Linked DNA regions of Drosophila melanogaster. The protein of the gene in region 2 interacts with the protein of the main gene of each other region in a pairwise test. Each region holds a gene or a part of one and is shown on either strand. Other genes may lie near its edges. The genes, in order: gcm2, Mst84Da, slgA and 4E-T.

Evidence for each region.
Region 1: the proteins of Mst84Da (region 2) and gcm2 interact in a two-hybrid assay, tested with the Drosophila melanogaster proteins (one large-scale study listed by BioGRID).
Region 3: the proteins of Mst84Da (region 2) and slgA interact in a two-hybrid assay, tested with the Drosophila melanogaster proteins (one large-scale study listed by BioGRID).
Region 4: the proteins of Mst84Da (region 2) and 4E-T interact in a two-hybrid assay, tested with the Drosophila melanogaster proteins (one large-scale study listed by BioGRID).

What each region holds. Positions count from the first base shown.
Region 1 is NT_033779.5:9,606,882-9,613,216, forward strand, and holds gcm2 (gcm2), read left to right. Parts: upstream 1-1,680; 5' UTR 1,681-2,016; coding exon 2,017-2,027; intron 2,028-3,720; coding exon 3,721-4,465; intron 4,466-4,530; coding exon 4,531-4,621; intron 4,622-4,680; coding exon 4,681-5,654; 3' UTR 5,655-5,825; downstream 5,826-6,335. UniProt on the Drosophila melanogaster protein: Transcription factor with a minor role promoting glial cell differentiation and a more significant role in hematocyte differentiation.
Region 2 is NT_033777.3:7,363,949-7,366,804, reverse strand, and holds Mst84Da (Male-specific RNA 84Da), read right to left. Parts: upstream 956-2,856; 5' UTR 873-955; coding exon 834-872; exon of another isoform or gene 779-833; coding exon 626-778; 3' UTR 543-625; downstream 1-542. Other genes in the region: Mst84Db (Male-specific RNA 84Db), read left to right, coding at 1,300-1,524; Mst84Dc (Male-specific RNA 84Dc), read left to right, coding at 2,276-2,443.
Region 3 is NC_004354.4:21,372,519-21,377,346, reverse strand, and holds the start of slgA (sluggish A), read right to left. Parts: upstream 3,036-4,828; 5' UTR 2,607-3,035; exon of another isoform or gene 2,526-2,606; intron 1,926-2,525; exon of another isoform or gene 1,854-1,925; intron 1,238-1,853; exon of another isoform or gene 1,228-1,237; 5' UTR 1,143-1,227; coding exon 681-1,142; intron 1-680. UniProt on the Drosophila melanogaster protein: Converts proline to delta-1-pyrroline-5-carboxylate. Involved in the conversion of proline to glutamate, which functions as a transmitter at neuromuscular junctions. Glutamate deficiency could possibly account for reduced motor activity.
Region 4 is NC_004353.4:952,345-960,095, reverse strand, and holds the start of 4E-T (eIF4E-Transporter), read left to right. Parts: upstream 1-1,703; 5' UTR 1,704-2,064; coding exon 2,065-2,090; intron 2,091-2,206; coding exon 2,207-3,551; intron 3,552-5,045; coding exon 5,046-5,175; intron 5,176-5,232; coding exon 5,233-5,607; intron 5,608-5,869; coding exon 5,870-6,076; intron 6,077-6,196; coding exon 6,197-6,583; intron 6,584-7,634; coding exon 7,635-7,751. UniProt on the Drosophila melanogaster protein: eIF4E1-binding protein that regulates translation and stability of mRNAs in processing bodies (P-bodies). Probably plays a role in P-bodies to coordinate the storage of translationally inactive mRNAs in the cytoplasm and prevent their degradation.

The DNA.
Region 1 (6,335 bases), on a different chromosome or scaffold from region 2:
CTACATTAAACTATCCATGCTTATAAAATAATGTTAAGCAATTAATTGCGAAAACCCCAAGCAGCTGCAAGACAGAAAACCGAACGATAAGCCGGATCGCGATAGATACTGGGGTAAACTGTTTAGCTAGTTGTGAAGTTGTGCATTTTCTACCACTTTCTGGTTGGTTCGTATATATGGTAAATGTATTTGTCACCCGTATCATTTGCTGTGGAGCGTTAAAGCGACAACAGCAGCAGCGGCAGCAGCAGCAGCCATTTCCAGGCCATCCGCGTAGTTACGCGTCTCCAGGCCCAATCCCGTATATATCTGGCCATAGTTGCAGGGGCCCAATTCCCTCCTGCCCCTTTTTAATTACGGGTCACAGTGGATGAGCGCAGGGGCGCAGCAACAGTTGCCACTGGTCGGTCGCTGCCACTTTTGTTACCATTTACATTTCCTGTCAACGGCATTTTCAATTTTCACTTTAACGCCTATTTGCTCCTCCATTTCTTTGCCTCTCCCTGTTAAATTGCTCTTCTTGGTCTGTTAATTGTGAGTGTGTGCTACCAAGTGGATGCATAAATTGTATTTTATTTTTTGTGCCCTGTAACTTTGGCCCAAATGGCGATGCGGGCTGATCAGGTGAAAACAAAAGACGCAGCAAGCATTAGGCCCAGCAATGCCCCCGCCTCACCAAAAAGTTCACCCTCTGGCTGATCTGGCCCTGATATTGTTGCCACTTGTGTATTCTCATGTTGTGGCTTTAGGAGAAATAATTTATTTGGCCAATAACCAGAGGAAAGTTGCTGTGTTTGGGGGGGAAGAACATACTTAGGTATCATTAGAAAATTTTTGAATGTTTTAGTAAATGTTTACTAATTAAAGAAAATTCAAAACTATATTTATTTCATAGTTAATATGAACAGACAACAGTCTAATGATTCAAATGCCGTTCCTTTCTAAGGCGACCCATGAAACAGAATACATATTTATACATACAAGTGACTCAAAATAAAAAGCAATCATGGCCAGTTATCGGAATGTTCAATTTACAATACGTGTTAAGCGGCATAGATCGGCATTACCCAGTCCATTAATCATCCCCCTAATCTGGCGAATATTCCAAACGATAAACCCCTGAATATCTATGCTCTGCCAAAGGTTTCCACTGCTTTTTGTTGGCATATCCTTAAACAGAGTTAAACAGAACAATGGGGACTGATAAGGGGCATAATAAGTAATTAAATTTCTGTGATGCTTATCGAGTATGTAGCCCCCACCACAGAAATTCCTCCATCTCCATCGCCGGAACTTCAAAATCTCTCTCTTCTCTTCTCTCGAAAGAGAGGAAGCCTATGTGTGCGTGTTTATCCGACCAATCGGAGGCGAGAAGAGACGACTGGAACTGGAAGCAACTGAGACTGCCTGGAAGGCAATGTATCTGACGGATACGTTTTACCACTCTGCCAGCTGCGTGGAGTTTTTTGGCAAATTATGCGGGTGGCTCGTCGCTGTATCGTCGCTTTCCCCGCTTTCCCGCTCCTCCGCCCACTTTCGAATATTTTGTTGGTTTTTGTAGGTGGAGCCAGAGCCATAATACCATTCCTTTGTTGACAAAACTTGGCACTACTACTCGCTCGCTGAAGTTTGTTTTTGTCTGCTGCTGCCGCTGCTGCTCTTTTGTTTTTCGTATCTGCCAGATACGCGCGCACATCCCGCCCTGCAGGTTGTATTCGAGGTTCAGCGAAAAGGTCGTCATTCTCACGGTTGTTTCCCATCGTCGGCGTCGCGTGCGCAATTCAGTTCAATCCAATCCAATCCGTTCCGAGGAGCTTCAACTAGCGACGGCTATCCGCGAGATACAAGTGCCCAGTGGATACAAGTGTCGCCTAATTGGATTACAATGCTCAAGTGTTGCCTGTTCGCAGGGCTTTCGAATCGCGGAAAACTCATTTAGGAGCAGTTGAGGTTTTATTGGATATTTTTAATTATACCACCTAATACCTGGATTAAAGAAGCTGCTTCAATTGGAATATGGTTGTTATGTAAGTTCTAAATAGTCCCTTTTTCGGAGATTTTCAAATGTAAATTCGAAATTTTATTGCCAAAAAATACTTTTAATAGGACAATAATCATATACTTTGTTCTCGAACCTTTTATCAAATATAATGGTAATTATTGAAATATGCTTAAAATAGGTTTCACTAAGTTTCTAAATTATTCTGCTTGGAACCCAAAGGAATATGGATTAAAAATTAATTTGCTCACATTATTCAAGGCATAGAGCTACCGAAGAATTAAAAAGCTCTCAGTACAAATGTTTCAAATTATTGCTGATCTGAACTGTGCCGACACGCGTTAAACCCAAGCCATCTGCGTAAGTGTTGAGCTTCCAAACACCTCAGATCAATCTCGGATGAAGAATGGGCCACAAATCAAACGATAAAGAGGCAGCGGGGGAGGTCAGGGAAAATGTAAATGATTTCAAACGCTTTATTATCACGCTGAGCGCGTTCCACAGCTTAGTTAATGGCACTCCGGTCCAGTCCAATCCGCTCCAAAGAGCCGCGGGGTGTGCCTCGTATTTTGGATGTTGGATTTCGGAAGGGGGATCTCGAATCTTGGAAACCGGCGGACCACACACAGTCGTAGGCGGAGCGGCGCTCGAGTGAAAGGGTCAAAGAGCCGATGATGATGATGATGCCCCCCCGGCCCCTTCGATTTATAGAGACATATTTTCTAGGTGACAAACTTATTATGAGCCCTGGACAGAGGAGGCCCAAAAATACAGATCTCGAACGAAGTGAGACGCTATCAGCATCAGATAAGCCCAACTAACGAGCGCCCCGAAGTGTCGAGCAGTCAATTTACGGACCCAAAACAAAGCGAGCCACTAGCCACGAACAGGTTCAATCGGGGGAAACCAAAGACCACCAGGCGAACCGTAGCACAGGTATTTGGTGTGTGGTTCTTGGTGCTAGATGCTGTGCAACCTGCTGACTTCCAAGTACACATAAAAACACTCAGGGGACCGAGGCGAATCGATCCATCGGCTTCGAAATCGATGGAAGACAAATTTATTGCTAATTGCAGAGCTCGCTCTCTAATAACTCCCACACATGGAGAATCTCGGCTGAGGCCCTCCATCGAGTCTAGCGATTCCCAGCTGACTCACGATCGGAGTGTCGGTTTAATATGCATCTCCGCCTCCTCAACTGGCGCTCGAATTACGATTGTGGCCAGCTTGGATTACCTGGTGCACAAGATTTGGGGCTAACGGTACCAGCCCTCTAAACTGGGCCTAAATAACCATGCGTTTCATGAGGCCCATAAACCTGGCAAACGTTTCATTTGATTGGTTTGTGTTGGGTTGGGATGGCCCCCTACGAAACAGTTTAGGGCGCAATTAAGATAGGATTTCAATTCCTTAAACGATGCTTAGGCTTTGGCGATAAAGTCACAGTTAAATGGATCACTTAAAGTTTTTACTCGATGTAAAGAGTTTTAATGTAAATAAATTCGATTTAAAAGTTAATGCTGTGACTCACAGTTTTGCCTTAACTTAGATTCCAAAAGGGCAGTGGTGTTTTTTTATTATGTGGCTACTAGAAGTGATATAAAAATCTGAACTCAAGTTAAAGTATGTTTTGTGCTCTTTGGCAAAATTCAAATATAATAATATAGTATTCTTAACTATGAATATAAAATGCAACTTATTATATATAAAATCCTCTACAGAAATGGCTACAGCTTCAAGACGCAGCAACTTCTCACACAGCAACCCGATCATTCTCAGCTTACCCAGTTTGTCCAGCCCCAAAGTCAGAGTACGCATTCGGTGCATCCGGGTCCAAGTCCTGGTCAACAGCAGGCGGGTGGCTCCATGACCATGCCGTCGTCGTCGACGGGCAAGGGAAAACGGGAGTGGGACATCAATGATGCCATTGTGCCACATGTGCCGGACCAGGAGTTCGACGAGTTCAACGAGTGGAGCGACGGGCATGTGAGGCACATCTATTCGCTGCACAACGAGGAGGCCAAGAAGCACATTTCCGGCTGGGCCATGCGCAACACGAACAACCACAACGTGAACATTCTGAAGAAGAGCTGCCTGGGCGTCCTGGTCTGCTCCCAACACTGCACCCTGCCCAACGGATCCAAGATCAACCTGCGCCCAGCCATTTGCGACAAAGCCCGGCGGAAGCAGGAGGGCAAGGCGTGTCCCAACAAAAGTTGTCGTGGCGGTAGACTAGAGATTAAACCGTGTCGCGGTCACTGCGGCTATCCGGTGACCCACTTCTGGCGGCACTCCGGCAATGCCATCTTTTTTCAGGCCAAGGGAGTGCATGATCACCTGCGTCCGGATCCGAAGAACTCCAGTGTTTCCAAGCGGGCCTTTGGACGTGTGCCGCTGGCTGGAAAGTCAGCCAACGGATCAGTCGCCAAGAAGTCGGTCATTGCGGGTCTGGTCAAGCAGGCGAAGGTGAGCTTAGATAGACATTCATTCACCCGGGATGTATCATCTTAACCATTCTTCTCTGACGACAGCAACAACACAGTCTGATTAGCAAGGTTCTTAAGCGTCCTGCTGTCAGCAATCCTCTGGCTCACACCGCATTGGATATATATCAGTATAATGGTAGGTATATAAAACAAGAATATTTAAAGATTTCTTTTACAATTTGTATCCCCCATTAGCCTGTGGCAAGTGCGCCGGTTATAGCCACTGCACTTGCAGCTACCTGGATGACAGCACCACGGCGAGGAGCCATCAGTTGTCACAATCCTCGAATTACGGCACCAATTCTTGGCCACTAAGTGGATCCGAGTCATCGGCACCCTGCGAGACGGCAGCTAATGTGTTTACGGTCAACCACCAGCACATCACCTATAACTATCCCATCTACCATGCAACTCCAGCGGCGGCCACCGCGGCACCTAGTAAATCTCCCAGTTTGCCCTACGCCTGCAGCATTTCGGAACTGGCCGCATACCAGCAATCCTCCAGCGGGAACAGCTTTGCGATGGGTGTTCCCGTGCACGGACACACACAATGCCAGGCAGTAGCCTATGATTCCAGCCCGCAACTGGCCACTCCGGAACCGGAGTTCATCAACTACTCGCAGATCAAGCATTTGGGTGGTGGCGGTGGTCAGGAGGAGATCAGCTGCAAGGCCGAACCGGGACCCACCATTAAGTACAATGCCACCGTGGAGACGCAGCCGTATGTGGAGGACAACTACGATTACTACTATAGCCCCAAGGCGGAGTACGAAATGCAACAGCACCACCACCAGCAGCAGCAGAGCCACCAACAGTTCGGTGGAAATCAGACAGCGGGACATCACTACTACGAGAGCAGTAGTGGCTATAATGGAGTCAGCTATTTCGACACAGGAACTACTACGGCACCAGGAAATACTGCAACCGGAAATGGCCTGGAAGTCGGATACGGCGGCTACTACGATCACTACACCAGCTACGAGCAACAAATGGCGGTAGCAGGTGGATTTGCCACTGCCGGAGGATCCACTGCGCCGACAGTGGCCGCGCCCCCTGGCCATCCACCGCCTCCACCACCACCGCCCACGCTGACGTACCACCATCACCATCACCACCACTTGCACCACCCAGCAGCAGCTACAGGCCTAGCCCCATCGGTCACCCATTGAATAGTACTTAACCAATCCGGACACCGGAGGATTACTCATAGTCGATAGCTAAGCATAGTAACATAGTGTTTAAAATAGTGGTGAAATCTTAATTTCCATCTGTACGTGTAGTGTTAAACGGTTTACCAATTGTTTTTCTCGGCAAATAAATTATGAAAAGTGTTGATTTGTAAAAGTAAATGTATTTAATTTAAGTGCGTAAATATAATTTCTTATTGCGCGACCAATTCAAACATAGCTAATTTTCAGCGGTCATGATGGTGCGGTTCTTGAAATCAGAGATAGATGTCGCGCTGTAAAAAAATTGTTGGTAAGAACCATGTAAAATGTAATGGTAAAAACCATGTAATGTAGACAAGCAGGTGCTCACTTAACCATAACTGTAGTAATTTTAGGACGCATTTAATGATTTGTAGTTTAAAATCGATAGATAGTAAGATATACTTTAATACGAATGATGTTTTATAATTGGCGGAAACATTTAAAGAAAAACAAATTGGCTGCCAAGACCCAAATTTTGTACCGCTTACATGGCTTGCAGTTTTTTTTTAAAAAGCCTCCTACCGGTAAGAAACTGAACTACTGCAGAGTTGCTTTACGATAAACTCACAATGACACACAGACACAGACACACAGACATAACCAGACTAAAGAGAATAGTACTACAAGTTATAATCGCTA
Region 2 (2,856 bases):
CCTGGTCTGGTTCTATGAGCACGGTGTGTGTCTCAGTCTGTCAGCCAAGCGGGAACTTGATAAGGACAAAAGGTTCGATGCCTTTCTGGCGTTTACCCATAAGGACGAGGCTCTGCTGGAGGAGTTCGTGGATAGGCTGGAACGTGGTAGGCCCAGGTTCCAACTCTGCTTCTACCTGCGAGACTGGCTGGCGGGCGAATCTATTCCCGATTGCATTGGTCAATCTATAAAGGACTCGCGGCGCATTATTGTCCTCATGACAGAGAACTTTATGAATTCCACTTGGGGTCGCCTCGAGTTCCGACTGGCCCTCCACGCCACCTCACGCGATCGGTGCAAGCGTCTGATAGTGGTGCTCTATCCAAACGTGAAGAACTTCGACAGTCTGGATAGCGAGCTAAGGACCTACATGGCATTTAACACCTATCTGGAGAGAAGCCATCCGAACTTTTGGAACAAGCTGATTTACTCGATGCCGCTACTACCAAGCTACGTTGACTAGGACATTACATTATTAATTTCAATAAGAAACAAAAATATATAATTTGTTGTCTCCCACACAGTTTATTTTTTGAGATTTACATAGTTCCCGGAAGTATTCCGACAGGTTTCCGGGTCAACTGGTTTAGCAGCAAGGACCGCAACCGCAAAAACTGCTGGTGCCGCCGCAGCAAGGTCCACATCCTCCGCAAGGACCACAGCAGGGGCCACACCCACCACAGCAGGGGCCACATCCACCACAGGGTCCGCATCCGCCGCAGGGGCCACAGCAGGGGCCCTGATAAATCATATTAAAAGTATTCACTCGACTTACGAGACCGATAAATACATACCCCAACCAAAACGTAATTCGGGTTGACGTACATGTACATGATTTTGTTTCTTAAAAGATATTTCCCAACCGGAATCGAAAGGAACCGAAAATTTAGGTGTTAACTATTGAAGGTGGAACGGAGAACTGACTGAATGTGATCCAAATTAGCCGAAGCTTCATTTGACAGCAGTCATGAGAATTTCAAGGCTAATATGATCCGACAAATTATATTCATTATTATTATTATATTCTGGTATCCCAAAACCCATAATCTAGTTAGCTATGGATATTTTCGACAGTTGTCAAATTCATATACCAACTTGTGAGTCAGGTTTCCATCATTCTTATTTTGGTTCTCGGCCTGTAATCATCGAAATATTTTTTCGTCCTAAGTTATTTCTTTGTTAGGTTCAAAGTGAGTATTTCTCAAAGTGTAAGCATGCGAAGTTTTAACAAAATTTTTCTTAGAACTTTACGGAACCATCATGTGTTGCGGACCCCTTGGATTCTGCGGACCCTGTAGCCCGTGCGGCGGTCCTTGCGGACCTTGCGGACCCTGTGGTCCTTGCGGTTCCTGCTGTAGTCCTTGTGGATCTTGCTGTGCGCCTTGCGGCCCTTGCGGTCCTTGCGGTCCTTGCTGCGGGGGCTGTGGTCCATGCGGGCCTTGTGGACCTTGCTGTGGACCTTGTAGGCCATATTGCGGGTGCTGAACAACAACCACAACATGTAAAATATCTTTTTCCTGTGAACCACAAAGTGGAACTTAGGACTGAATGCGGATAAACTCTTCTTAGCTCGCGGGCCTAGTCAATAAAATAAGAATTTCAAAATACCTTTTCCGATGGTTTTTCTCTTCTAAATGGTGCAACCTTTGTCTTAGCTATGGATACCAAATGCGTGACAATAATAATTTATGTAATATAATTGCGAAAATTAAAATTGTCAATTCTTGGTGGATTGCGATCGTTAGAGGGGGCGGAGGAACATCCTACGTTCATATCGACTAGGCTTGTGATCCAGCTCAAGAATAAATAACCTTTTCTTCTATTCACTATAGCATAGCTATTACTCTACGAGTGGCGGGTATAAAACCTGCAACCGTGAATTTAAACCTCATTCAATAATAGTATTTGTCTGCAAACGGACAAATGTCCGATAACAATAATTCTATAACAATAATAACTATTTTTAACCATCAACCGCTGTACATAAACATAATTCGAATTCATAGTAGGCTATGGAAATCGTTCTTGACCTGTCAGACCCACCTAACCTTGTAAGTTCGGAAAATATATCATTCTCATCTCGACCCTTGTGCTGCTCGCATCAAAATTTTGTTGTTTTGTCCCAAATACTTGTTTTTTTTTTTTGGCTTCTAAAGACCGTTGGTAAAAATGTTTATTGTAAAGTTAAAATAGTATACATATTTATTTCGTTTATTTTAGACTTCTCGAATTAATCATGTGCTGTGGACCTTGTGGATCGTGCTGCGGATATTACTGCTGTGGTCCCTGCTGTGGACCTTGTGGACCCCGATGTGGGCCGTGCGGATCCTGCTGTGGACCCTGTGGACCCTGTGGACCTTGTTGCGGACCATTTGGCAGTTGTTGCGGTGGCTGTTGGTGCTAAATGCTCGCAATTGGCAGCCGAATCGATTTGTGAAACCATACCACAATCCCACCATGGTTAAACTAACACCTGAAAGTTAAAAGCCACAAATATATATATATGTATCTTAATGCAGATCCATGTTATCATTGGGATAGTTCACCATTGCTCTTACTCGGCGTTACTCGTTGACATAATAGGAATGCGTTTCGTAATATGTATGTGGGTGTAGGTTTCTTGATCAGGAACACTAGCCGGATACTAAGCGAGCAGATTGTATTGCGCTGCGAGCACAAGTTGCTATATGGAAATGGTTGAGACGTTCTTGGTAATACCATTTTATTTTACACGAATGACGTCTCAAGGTGATTGATTCTGCCTTCCGACGAGCTTCACTAGGACGTTCTTTGTTGTTCCCATCTGGATCAGTTGTA
Region 3 (4,828 bases), on a different chromosome or scaffold from region 2:
GAAAACTCGCTGCGGGTCGGGTGAATTGAAAAGCGGAAGCAGGGCGGAAAATCGGAAGGAAAGCAGCCAGCCACCTGACACGGGCTTCGGTTGCCCGGAAAATCGGAATCAAGCGAATGGAAGCTTGGCAGGATCGAAAAAATTCATGAATAAGACAAAAAAATTCATGAATAGAAAAAAGGAAGCAAACAAAAAAATTAAATATTCTTCTACGTTCAGTTTCAGACAACTTTAACATTATACATACATGGAATTCAATAGCCCTAGCTGTTCATAACTTTTGTTTACTCTTCAAGTGTCCAAGAATCCATGTACATGAATATATTTAAATAAAGCATTTTAAAGGAAGTATTTATAAAATAAATGAATGAATTATAATAAGTTGAAAGCAGCAGAAGAGGACAGAAGAGGCGAAGAGTCAGCACACACTTCGAGAGTTGAAACAAATGGTTTCGAAATCGGTCACTATCTAAAACGATACTTACTTAATTGTAATATTAAGAAAGCATTAAGCAGGGGTTATGTACTAACAGAGCCCCAGATTTCTCAGCAAACAGAACCAGAAACAGAGAGCTAGAGAGAGAGAGAGAGATCTCAGCTAGTCGATGGATTGGACCAATTCAAGGGTCAAAGGTCGCAGGACTCGGCAGAGGAGGAGTGGGGGACACCGATTAACTCACCGTCATGTTGTGCTCGACCAGCTTCTCGCTGGAACATATCATGTAGACGAGATAGGCGCGTATTAGCTCTCCAGTGGTCTTGCTCTTGAAAGCAGCAATCGGATCATTAAAGCTCACGTCCAGGGGATCCCTCTGCGGCGAGCCAGCGGGCGAGGGGTTCTTTTCCTGGGACGACTCCTGCTTCATCGATCGCTTCACCGTCTCGCTGGAGACCACCTCCGGTTGGACCAGAGTGGAGGCCTGCAGCGGCCGGTCGCCGCTGTGCAGGAAGCGCGCTCCATTGACTCCTCTCGTGGACTCCGATGCTGCTCCTTCTCCGGCGATGCTGGTGCTCCCGCTGCCGCGCTGATGGAAACTCCGGCAGGCGGCGACGGCCACGGAATTGCTCGACTTGCTGCTATTACGGCCGTAGACCAAACTGATGGCTGTTCGTTGGGCGCTCAGCGAACGGAGTAGAGCCATTACAAGGGATTCTGCGGTTTATTTACGCTTTCTGCTCTTCGGCTTTTGAGACGGTTATTGAAACGCACTCCAATCTCGGTTGTTGCTGCAAAAAGAAAACAATGGAAAGCAGAGGTAATTTCACTATTATCTCTACAAATCACTACGAATCTGAGGGAAGACAGTGGCGTAACGAAGAGATTACTAAAGGTGGTTATCTCGTTTTCAACTCGATTACAATAACGTTTTAAAAAGTGGAAATGTGGTACATATATAACAAAATTATTACGACTGTTTCAAAATATGCATTGATTTTCAATAAGATCATATAGAATTGATTTAATTGTAATTGGATGATATCTAATTAATATAAAAATAATAAACAAATGTATAATAAAATTCAATTTATAAAAATATTAAAATCAGTGTACATATTATTATTGCAACTTTTTGCCTAATTGTGTTTTTTGCCCCCCCACAAACCCCACGCCAACGCCAATGATCACAGCTGATTTTGTCGGAGAGCTTTTCGCTCTCCCTCTTTCGCTCGCTCCGAATGTTATACAACAAATGCGAAAAACGTGAGGCGGCGAGGGAGAGCGAAGCCGAAAAAAACAGCACAACACAATCACACGTACGCAAGTACACCTTCGAAATGTTCAATTAAAAAAGTCAATTTCTGGGCAGAAATCTATCTTTCGCTATTATGTGTCTTTTGGGTTTTCTTCTTACTTCGTTCTTATTATTTATTCTATTACGCTTTGAGCGTTGTATACGCCGCAAAAGCACGAAACCAAATGCGACGAAGACGCGTGAAAATGGGGCGAGTTGTTAAGCGACGGCAAATTCAACGAAGCGAAACGAGGAAGGACCCGAGGGCGAGAAAATCCTTTTCGCCGCTTCGCTCCCGTTTATGTAACTGTAAATGTAACCGAGATTGTACCGTAATTGTAACTACGACTGTGTGACGTCACAGGCATGCCAGCCCCGTTTGCTTCTGATTTTGATTTTGATTTGGAATTTGTTTTGATTTAATTGAAATGCGCCGAAAGCACACACTAATTGGTGTTAATTGCGGCTCTCCTTGATTCTCCCCAATTTTCGTTCTCAGTTTTCCACCCATTAACCCCTTTTCCCTTTTTCATTTTATTTATTAATTAGCAGCCCGCTAAATAATCGCCAGACGGGAGGCTGCAATCAATCGAAAAAACTTGGCGGGTTTCATTGCACAGATTTCATTACACTTCATTATGGGCTATATCAAGTTCTGTCTCGCTCTGGCCGCCTTGGTTAAAGGGAAACAGGGAGCTGCCGTACTTAAATTGCGAATTCATCTGAATGGTTTTTTTTTTTTTGTTTTTTTTTCTTCATTTTTCTTATTTGTTGCTATGCGGCGAATTGTACCTATTATATAACACTGCTTACTGCTCTCTACCTCGCTTTGTAGAGATCCTTTTATGATACGAATACAACGCAGCCACTCACATGTACACTGCAAAATTTCGCTTGGGTTTGTGGGTTTCCTCTATTTGCTCGATATAAATTTTGCTTTAACGGTTGTTTTGTCACTTCAAAAAAAACAAACTACGATACATAACCAGCAACGACCCAAAAACAATAATAAGGGTAAACAATACAATTTTGTAGAATTTGTAGAATTGCCAAATATAGTTTTTCGGAAAAACTCGTGTTTGTTTGACAAACTTCTCACAGCAGCCTGCGAGAAAAGTAGAAAAGTTCCCGTTTCTGTCAGCGCATTTGCTCACCTCACAAAAGACACACAAGTACAAGTACAATTATAATTATTTTTCGGTTTTTTCGAGTCAATGTTGTTCTTTTCGAGGGTTTTTGGTTTTTGCTGCTGCAACAGAGAGCGTGAGCACGCGCAAGGGTCTGAATTCGCGAATAAACTGAAACACATGAAGCGAAATTAAGGCCAACACGGCGAAAGCTCGTCCAAAAAAGCTTGAGAGAAATTGTTGGACCAGTCGGTGAGGGGCAGAAAGGGGATGGGCCACCCCCAGCAGCTGTTTGGGCTGCACGTGAGCGAAAAAAAGAAACCCGATCGAAAATTAATCGCCATCTTGTCAACTCTTATTACCCAATAAAAATCGGCACGCTTATCTAGGCCCCTGGCGGTTGGCCGGGAATCTTCGGTGCTCTTATCTTATCAATGGACTCCCACACCAGCGTCCAACAAAAACGAACCATTCCTTCTATTCATCTCTCTCCCTGTCTCTTTCTTGACAACCGGCGTCTTGCAACACTGGCCTCGCAAACAGGCTTGCTTTACACCCAGATCACTGGAGAAATATATCGATACGAAATATACGCTCGCAAAATTTGAAATTTAGTTTCAGGTACGAAAATTATTCAAAATGTTTCTCTGTGTAAAGAACGCTTATCGTGGACTCAAGAAAGTATCAAACAGATTTATTTTAATTGCACTATTTACGCAAATATAAGGCCACCAAATGAATATAAGTTTTCTAAATCTTTCTAATCGGACCCTCCCAAGCCAAATATTTCCTTTTGCTGTGTGCCGAAAGAAGGGATTTTAGAAAAGTTTGAATTATTGTTAGTTACAAAATTGAGTATCCGAACTATTTGTTACTTTCAGCTCGCAATATAAATATAATATAAATATCGATAGTTATCGCCGTCTCACAAATCTACACACCAGCGATCTCTAAAAATGTCCTTTGGGTTTGTTTTAAGCGATTTTTTCGGTTACAAATTTCAAACATATTACTTCGTATAAAATCTTTTAAACTGATTAAAATTAAAAACAAAGCGATTCGGCTTGTGACACTAACAAAAAAAAACCTTTTACGTCTCAATTTACTTTACTTTAAAATTGTTTATAGAAAAAAGGTAAGAAAGTTAAGAAACATTTATGGCATCAAAGAAATCATGTTAACGTAAAAAAAAACTACAAGAACTATATGCACTCCATATTTTTTAATATACACAATGTATGCGTACATAGATACCAAATTGTTCCCGTATACTGATTACTTACTGGCGTTTCATAGATAAATATTGCAAAATTGGCTCTTCAAAATGAAAATTCCAAGTTTCCATTTTAAAATGAATATATTTTTGTTTGCAAATTGTTTGCGTTTCGACAAATATAGCAATAAGTTACGACTACATATTAGAAATAATAATAATTAACATTTAATGAGCGACCGCTGCTGTTGATTTTGCTGCTTAGCGAACGCGGCCCGAAAAAGGAGAAACTTAACAAGAAAAAAACAGAACAAGTTATTTAAATACCAAATATATACATAGATATATGCGTGTGAAACTGACTCGGGTCTCCTCCTACCGCCGTCATAACAAACAATACATAATTCGCTATCGCCGCGACTCTCTTCTCGCATTCTCTTCGGCTGGCTTGATTTTCTGTTATTACATAATATTATTGACTAAATTGTAGATCAACGAATGTCTGTTTTTCCATCTCCATTGGGCACCACCAGCAAATAGCTTTAAGCATCGTAAGTATCGAAAATGGGTGCTTAACTTGACCGCAAGACTATCATAAGGGCGACAAATTCAGTTTAAGGTTTTCGATTGATGCGACAATGTTAAAACAATTGAATATTAATGCACAGTTGTGCGGATATGAACTGAATATTTTGGATATGTGTGCAACATAGCCCGAAAAACATGTAAAACCTATCTATATATGTATGTAAATA
Region 4 (7,751 bases), on a different chromosome or scaffold from region 2:
TTTAATAACTCGACATATGGCTTTATTTGTACCACATTTCTTCGTACTGTGCCATACCATCCCTATTTTGCCATCCTTACGATACCGCCGTCATTATCTTCATTAATGGGTGGGTAGAGACCGTTAGGTCAATGCAGGACGGCATATAGAAATTGGGTGACGCACTCTTAGACCATAACCAAAACTATCGTATATTCTCAAAAAAAGGGGACTATGACTATAAAAATAGCTATGTATTTAACTCTAAACCTCTATAGATTTTGATAGACCATGACATTGTGTGGAACATGATGTCATTTTCTAGACATTGTGCACGAAGATCATTCCCGAAGTCGACCGAACACTTATTCCGTGCATGTTTCATCAGACCGCCGGCAGCATATTTTAGCGTTAGGCGTGCACTTCCTTGTATAACTGTGTACACCTACAAAAAATTTCAAAATCAATCTATCGGGCACGCTCCGTTAATCGAAGTACTTTACGATTTCGATTTTAAAGATTGGTGCTCCGGTTTTCAAATTCGTAAGGATTTTCGATGTGTATAACGGGCACTTTTGTCTGGCCGAAATGAAAAGTATATGCCCATTTTTATATCACGTTAGATCTTAACCAAGGGAAAAAATAGTTCAGTAGTCTATTGATTTATATTCATTAGTTATTTTATATACAATTTATTTCTGACCCCATCAAAAATTTGATATACAAAATTTTGCTGTCGGCAACAAAAATTTTCGATTTGGCATTTTAAAACGCAAGATCGGTGCTCCGGTTTTCAAATTCGTAAGGATTTTTCGATTTGTAAAACGGACACTTTTGTCTGGCCGAAATGAAAAGTATATGCCCATTTTTATATCACGTAAGATATTATTTACCAAGGGAAAAAATAGTTTACTCAGTGGTCTATTGATTTATATTAATTATTTATATTCATTATTTATTTTATATACAATTTATTTCTGACCCCATTAAAAATTTGACATACAAAATTTTGCCGTCGGCAAAAAAAATTTTCGATTTGGCATGGGGTCATGCGTGCGTCGACTAAACTTACTTATAAAATATAAAAGAATTAATTATCTTAATTTAAAAGATGGCCTATAGTGTTCGTAAGTAATGCTATTTAATTTAATTAATTAAACGGTCAAAATGCAGTAAAAAATTAAATGCGAACATCGGAATTAAAATTGTGAAAAAGGTGTCCGCTGGAAAACAGCTTAAACAGCTGTTTACTGTACAGAAAACACTCCGACAGCAAAAAATTTTACGAAATCAAATCGAATTCGGAAACAAATTACGATTATTCGGTAATGCATGCCTGATTATAATTTCTTGATTTGTTTTATATTAAATTTAAAATTTAATAGTTTAATAATATAAAAATATTCTTATTTATATTATATATTATGAGTATTTCAAATGTAAATAATCATATAAACTATTTTATAAAACATCGACGTTACATAAATAAAATTTATTTTTTGTTTTTCAAGTGTAAATAATAATATTAATCATTTTAGAAAACATTCGGCACCTTTACTCGACGCTCATACGAACGGACAGATATGCTTAGTCTGGTATCGCTTTAGCACCAGTAGGAAAAACCTAGAATTTCTTTTCCCACAAATGTCACAACTTCAAAATTCCATTGTTTCACGGTGTTTCTCTTTTAATGTTTCAATATTAATATATATAATGCCTTAAGGTTCAATAAGAACAAAATATTTTCAATGTCTATATCCCACTCCAATTTAGCGTGATATTCACAAAGCTAATCGCAACATTGTGAGCATTAAAAATTGTTATATATGTATGTAAGCGTCTTGGGATTATATTCTCATGAAACTCAACAGTCATATATATGGCCTTAAAATACGTATATATATATATATATATTAATTTTTCAAAGTGTGTGTTTGCATAAGTGGTGTGTACTATTTGTATATTCATTGTACAATTTCTCCCGTTCATATAGGAGAGTGTTCTGTTTTTAATAATTTTGGATATCTTAACTTTTTCGACTTTCTGTAATAAGTTAGATTACACAGTGAACTATAGTCCTTAGCAATGGATACATCAAAGATTAGTGCCAGGTATGTGGATTAAATATTGGTAAATTTTAGTCAACTTTTTCGATATTATTCTCGCGTACTGTTTTTTTAAACTTGTATATGTACTAACATTGTTTTAACAATCTGTTTCACATTAGGTACTCGAAAGTAGACCTGTTAGCTCTAAGATATGAAGGTAAAAGTCGACAGCGCCCGCAATGTTCAACACGACTTGAATTGCAGACGCTAGGTTTTTGGAAAATTAATCTGAACACAGCTGCGTTAACCGTGTCCAGCGCCTATTCTAATCAAAACAAGAATCGACTTTCTCCAGAAGCAGATAACTCGAGCTTAATTTGTTCCAATAGTAGCTCAATAAGTTCACGTCGCGCTATGAGAAATCGAGAACGGGCAAACAACTATTACCAGCGCTTCGTACCTACCGATTCTCTTCTAATAAGTGGGGAGGATAAAGATAAGGATGCGCTTTCTCATGGACAGCCCTATAAGTTGAATATCATCGATCACCGTAGCATATCATCTTCACATTTAATGCCGGCATTTGCAAAGAGGCGTTTTGTCATATCGAAAGGCAGCAACAGCGAGGAAAGCAACGAGGGGATAAACACTTGTGCAAGCAAGGGCAAGGCAGCCAGTTCGCCTAGCCGTAAGGGTAGCGAGTTGGATACTGCTGAGACATGTTTGAATTTTGTTCAGCCGGATCACGACCAATGCATGTCATCTTCACCTACATTTTCAACATCCCGCCAAGAAAGGCGGATTGGTAGCGGTCGGCTGTTGCCAAGAAGTGATAATTGGGATTACAAAAACGAAAAGACCGTAGAAGCCAGCATTGAGAATGAAAAGGAAACATCTCCAAATGGATCTGGAAGTACAAGCAGTCTTAATCAGCACAATCAAAGCCAACATCGTTCTCGAACATTCAGTGGAAGGTTAGTTGAACGTGTTCCCGAAGTCACAGATCGTCGTTTTCAATATGACTCCAAAAAGTCTTTTGATCGTCAGGGAATTAATAATCGACGCATTTCTGGTAAGGAGCCTTTCAGTACTCAAAGCCGAAGCAAGCGTGGCAATTCCTATCTCATTCACGAAGAACCTGAATGGTTCAGTGCAGGACCTAAATCACAGCTAGAAACTATTGATCTACACGGGTTTGAAGACCTGGAAAAAAACGAAGAGCGATCCGTAACTGAAGATAAAAATAATCAAATTCAACAACTTGATAAAAATTTAGACGCGCAAGCAAGCAAAGATGAAGCTTCGATGAGAAACAGCAATGATAGTTTAAATTTCCGCGAAGTCATTCCAAGTGATGAAAAGAAGCACACTGACGAAAATGTAGTGACTTCTATTCAAAACTCAACAGATCTCGGCCATCCCAATAAAAACAAACCAATTCAGATGCAGCCCAGTCAGAATCCTGAAAGTGAATTTAATTTTGATGCCTTTCTTAATATGCATCCCTTGGATAATTCCGTTTTGGTAAATATATTGCAAAAACTAGATTTTAAGGAATGAGTACCTAATCCATTCAGACATTACATGGACAACTTCCGGGTTACCTTTTATTGACGGATCAATAATAGTATTCAAATAAGCTGTAAATAATGATATTAACTCCCGTTACTCAAGTAAAGGGTAAAGAGTTAAAGGGTATACTAGATTCGTTGAAAAGTATGTAAACTATATATTCTTGATCAGGATCAATAGCCGAGTCGAACTGGCCATGTCCGTCTGTCCGTATGAACGTCGAGATCTCAGGAACTAAAAAAACTAGTATGTTGCAATTTAGCATACAGATTATAGATACGAAGACGCAGCACAAGCAAAGACACTAGAATAACAAGATGCGTAACGGCCATACATTGGTTTTGCACTATGCAGCCAATTTTTTAGTGACGGCCAAAATTGCTCTCTTTCCGCTCGCTCCCGCTGAGAGCATAAGAAATCTAAAAATAGAATTTGCTTGCTTGTGTGAGTAAAAACAAGAGACGAGAACGCATATATGTGTGCGTGTTGTGCTAGAAGACGATTTTCGGACCGAAATCAATTCTGATCAAAGAAACGAATTTACATTGTACATATTAGGGTAGTTTTTGTCAATTTCGTAGCAATATGATAAAATAAAATAATTTTTAACTGACTATTATCATTTTAAAGCTTTTTAAATTTGTTTGTTAAAATCGCCGCTCGAATTAGCTACCGTTTACACATTTATATTTATGTTTAATTCTAATTTGTCTCTCATCTGACAATTTTTTAAAAGCGAAATATTTTTTTTTTTAAACACTTTTAATGTTAATGTTACATCATATTAAGTCAAATGACATAATAAATATAGTAAATAATTAAATATGATAACTGTTTATTGCAAAAGTCATATCAAAGACACTAGAATTATTCTAGTGTCTTTGCTTTGTTCATATCTTGAAGCACGAAGTACGGACACAAGCACTCAACAATCATTGCCTTATTAATTTTTCACACGCCGCAAGATGAATACTCTAATGACAAATATTCTTATATAAAGTCATTTTTGAAATTTATTTTTGTGATAATATGTACATAGATTTGGCTATTTCTAATCTATTTTCATATAATAATAACGTTAAGGCAATGCAAAACAAGAATTTTTCGCATGGTGCCAATTGATCAAAAATAATATAGATTTAAAGTCAAAGAACTTCTAAGGTGAAGGGCATATTTTGTGAAATTTACAATGCATGAGCATGCCTGTGTACACATACAGTTGTCTGCTATCACTTTATGCGTTAAAAACAAACAAACAAACCGCCCAGAACTGCCACGCCAACATTTTTGAAAAATGTTCTGATATTTTTTCATATTTTTATTAGTCTAGTAAATTTCTATGGATTTGCAAAAAAAAAAGTTTGCCCCGGCAACTCTAATACCCTAGAATTTATATTTTAAAGGTAAGCTTATTAATTTTAAGATATATTTATTGTACATTTGCAGAGTAATGATGAAACTGGAAAAAGTGACTCAAAAGGAACATCCCGTTTTAGCCGATGGTTTCGACAAAAAGAAGCTGCAAATAATAATGAGTTTCCAGGGTTTCGGGAATCGCATGCTCAAGAAAAACGTGGTATGTCAAGATTTGTAATAATATATCAAAGGCCTTATAGTTCACTTTGTTCTTAAGGTATTCCAAGTGTTAAGGATCTGGAAGCTCAAATGATAAAAGTGGATATGAGGACTGATTTAATAAATCCAATAGCAGGGTCATTATGTCAGACAGTGCAAATGGAAAAACCTATTGCTAGAGACACTGAGGCATTCAAAAAACTTTTGCAACAGTTGGGTTCTCAAGCCAGGCAGCATCATCCATGCAACGACGATTGTCGTACAATAAACCTCTCAAATATAGCAAATCATGTACACCTTGAGTCAAAATTACATCAAAAAATAAATGATGGTCATTTGCAGCAACCAGAGTTAAGTGTTAACGTGCCAACCATGCCAACTAGTAGTCATGTATTTTTGCAAAAGCGTTTGGAAATCCAACATTTAATTCAAAGTAAGATATGTTTCAAAATTCCATGTCTATAAACTTTTTCTTGAATACTTAAGTCCTTTTTCTTGTCCTTATGGTAAAATAATATAAGGTTTCTGGCTGATAAAACACATGAATGTTACAGTTTACCATATACATGTTTACCATCAGAACGGGAACTTATTTAAAGCGTATCTGGTAAAAACCACGTGTTCTTATTTTAATGCTTTTATACCCTGCGCTGTATTTAAATATTATGAAAAACAAAATGTTTAATAATAAATAGGACTTCATTGTGGAGACGTTTCACATGATTTTTTGGAAAAAGAATTGGATAATCCCAGCACCCCAGCAGCCACAAAGGATGTCATTGCCACAGTGTTGAATGAATATTCTCATTCTAAAAGAAATCCGGTGGTCACAGGCGATCCCAATATTTTTACCCAACAATCGTTTCTTCAGCCTCAATCAGTCCATCAGCACTACTCTCAAGGTAAGTAATTCTTGGTTATATGGTAACTCTTTAAAATTCAATTAATATAATATTTGATTCAGTTAAAGTATCTTATTTATTACTAAAATTATTTGTAAAAATTCCTTAATTTTTTTCTAGAATTGCATTCGCAAAATACTGCTAACCATACGATTAATCAGCTAATTTCCCACGGTAACTCTCCAACTCCGTTGGCATTTACTCCTACTTCAGTTTTAAGAAAAATGACAGCCGATAAGGATACGCAATCACCAAGCACTTATTGTCAGAACCCACAATATCATGTACACCAACAAAATGCCAAGCAAGTCGGTACTCGTGAGAACGTACTTGAGCCACAGCTGACCGCAACAATGGCTGTACAGCCCCGAATGATATTAGGCGGTGGAAACTTTGCCATTGGCCAAAACAATCAACATTTGTCTCCCAACATGTCACAAAGTCGTAATCAACAAGTGTTAAAGTGGACTTCTGGCAATATGCAAATGGTCCACGGAAAAACATTTGGTAAGTTACACAAAAAAGTGTTAGCTATTATTAAAGTACATTTATTAGTTAAAGCTTTGTTTTTTTTTTTTTGCTATAAGTTTTTTTTACTCGTTCTCATAAACTTAATGTAAATGTATATGAATTTCAAGAGAAATTATAAAAATCGTTGAGTTACCATAAAAAGCGTGCAAATACGCAAATACAAAATTCAGTTCTTAAAAGAGGATAGTATAGGATAGGAGAAAGTGGATGCTTTTTATACCCGTTACCCGTAGCGTAAAAGCAAAGACATTAGAATAACAAGATACGTAACGGCCATATATTGGTTTTGCCAAAGACATTAGAATGACGAGTAACGCCATACGTTTTTTAGGATTTTTGTTGACTTTTTCATCAATTTATTAGTCTCTTAATCAAGTAAATTTTCAAAAGTTTTGGTGGCTTTGTGGGCGTGGCAGTTTTGGCCTGTTTGTGGGCCTTAGAGTGTCCGCAGCATCATGACTCTCTCAAGCTTCTCAACTCTCTAGCTTCTATAGCTCCTGAGATCTCGATGGCCAGATCGACTCGGCTATTGATCCTGATCAAGAATATATATACTTTATATGGTCGGAAACGCTTCTTTCTGCCTGTTACATTCTTTAAAACGAATATAGTATATCTCTACGAGAACCGGGTGTAAATATACAACCTGTAGAATAGCTAAATTGGCTTTTTGAGACACGACGTGCGTGCACGTATATACTTACATAATATAGAGAGTATTTTTTAATAGACCAAAAAATAAATATTCATATACACAGTTTGCTTAATTTATATTCTGTGCAAGAAGTGTACCCTACAATTTTGATTATTCTTGACTTATTGGGGTAATGAAAATTACGATTATTTAGTGGAATTTTTTGAAGTGGACTTTGTTTTAATGTAGTTATCTGTGACCCAAAGCAATATTTTATTCTCTAGGAATAAATATCTTTGTTAAACAACGCGATATAATAAACTTGAGATCTTCGACTTCTGTATTAATGGGTTCAAAGACTTACACATTATTATTTTGACTTACATATTTTAGGCCGACCTATTCTGAAAGGAGGTCTTAATTCAATGCCGCATTCCAATTCTGCACTTCCTTTTACTGCCCATAAAATTGAAATGCAACCCATTCATCAACCACATCTACAGCAGCAGC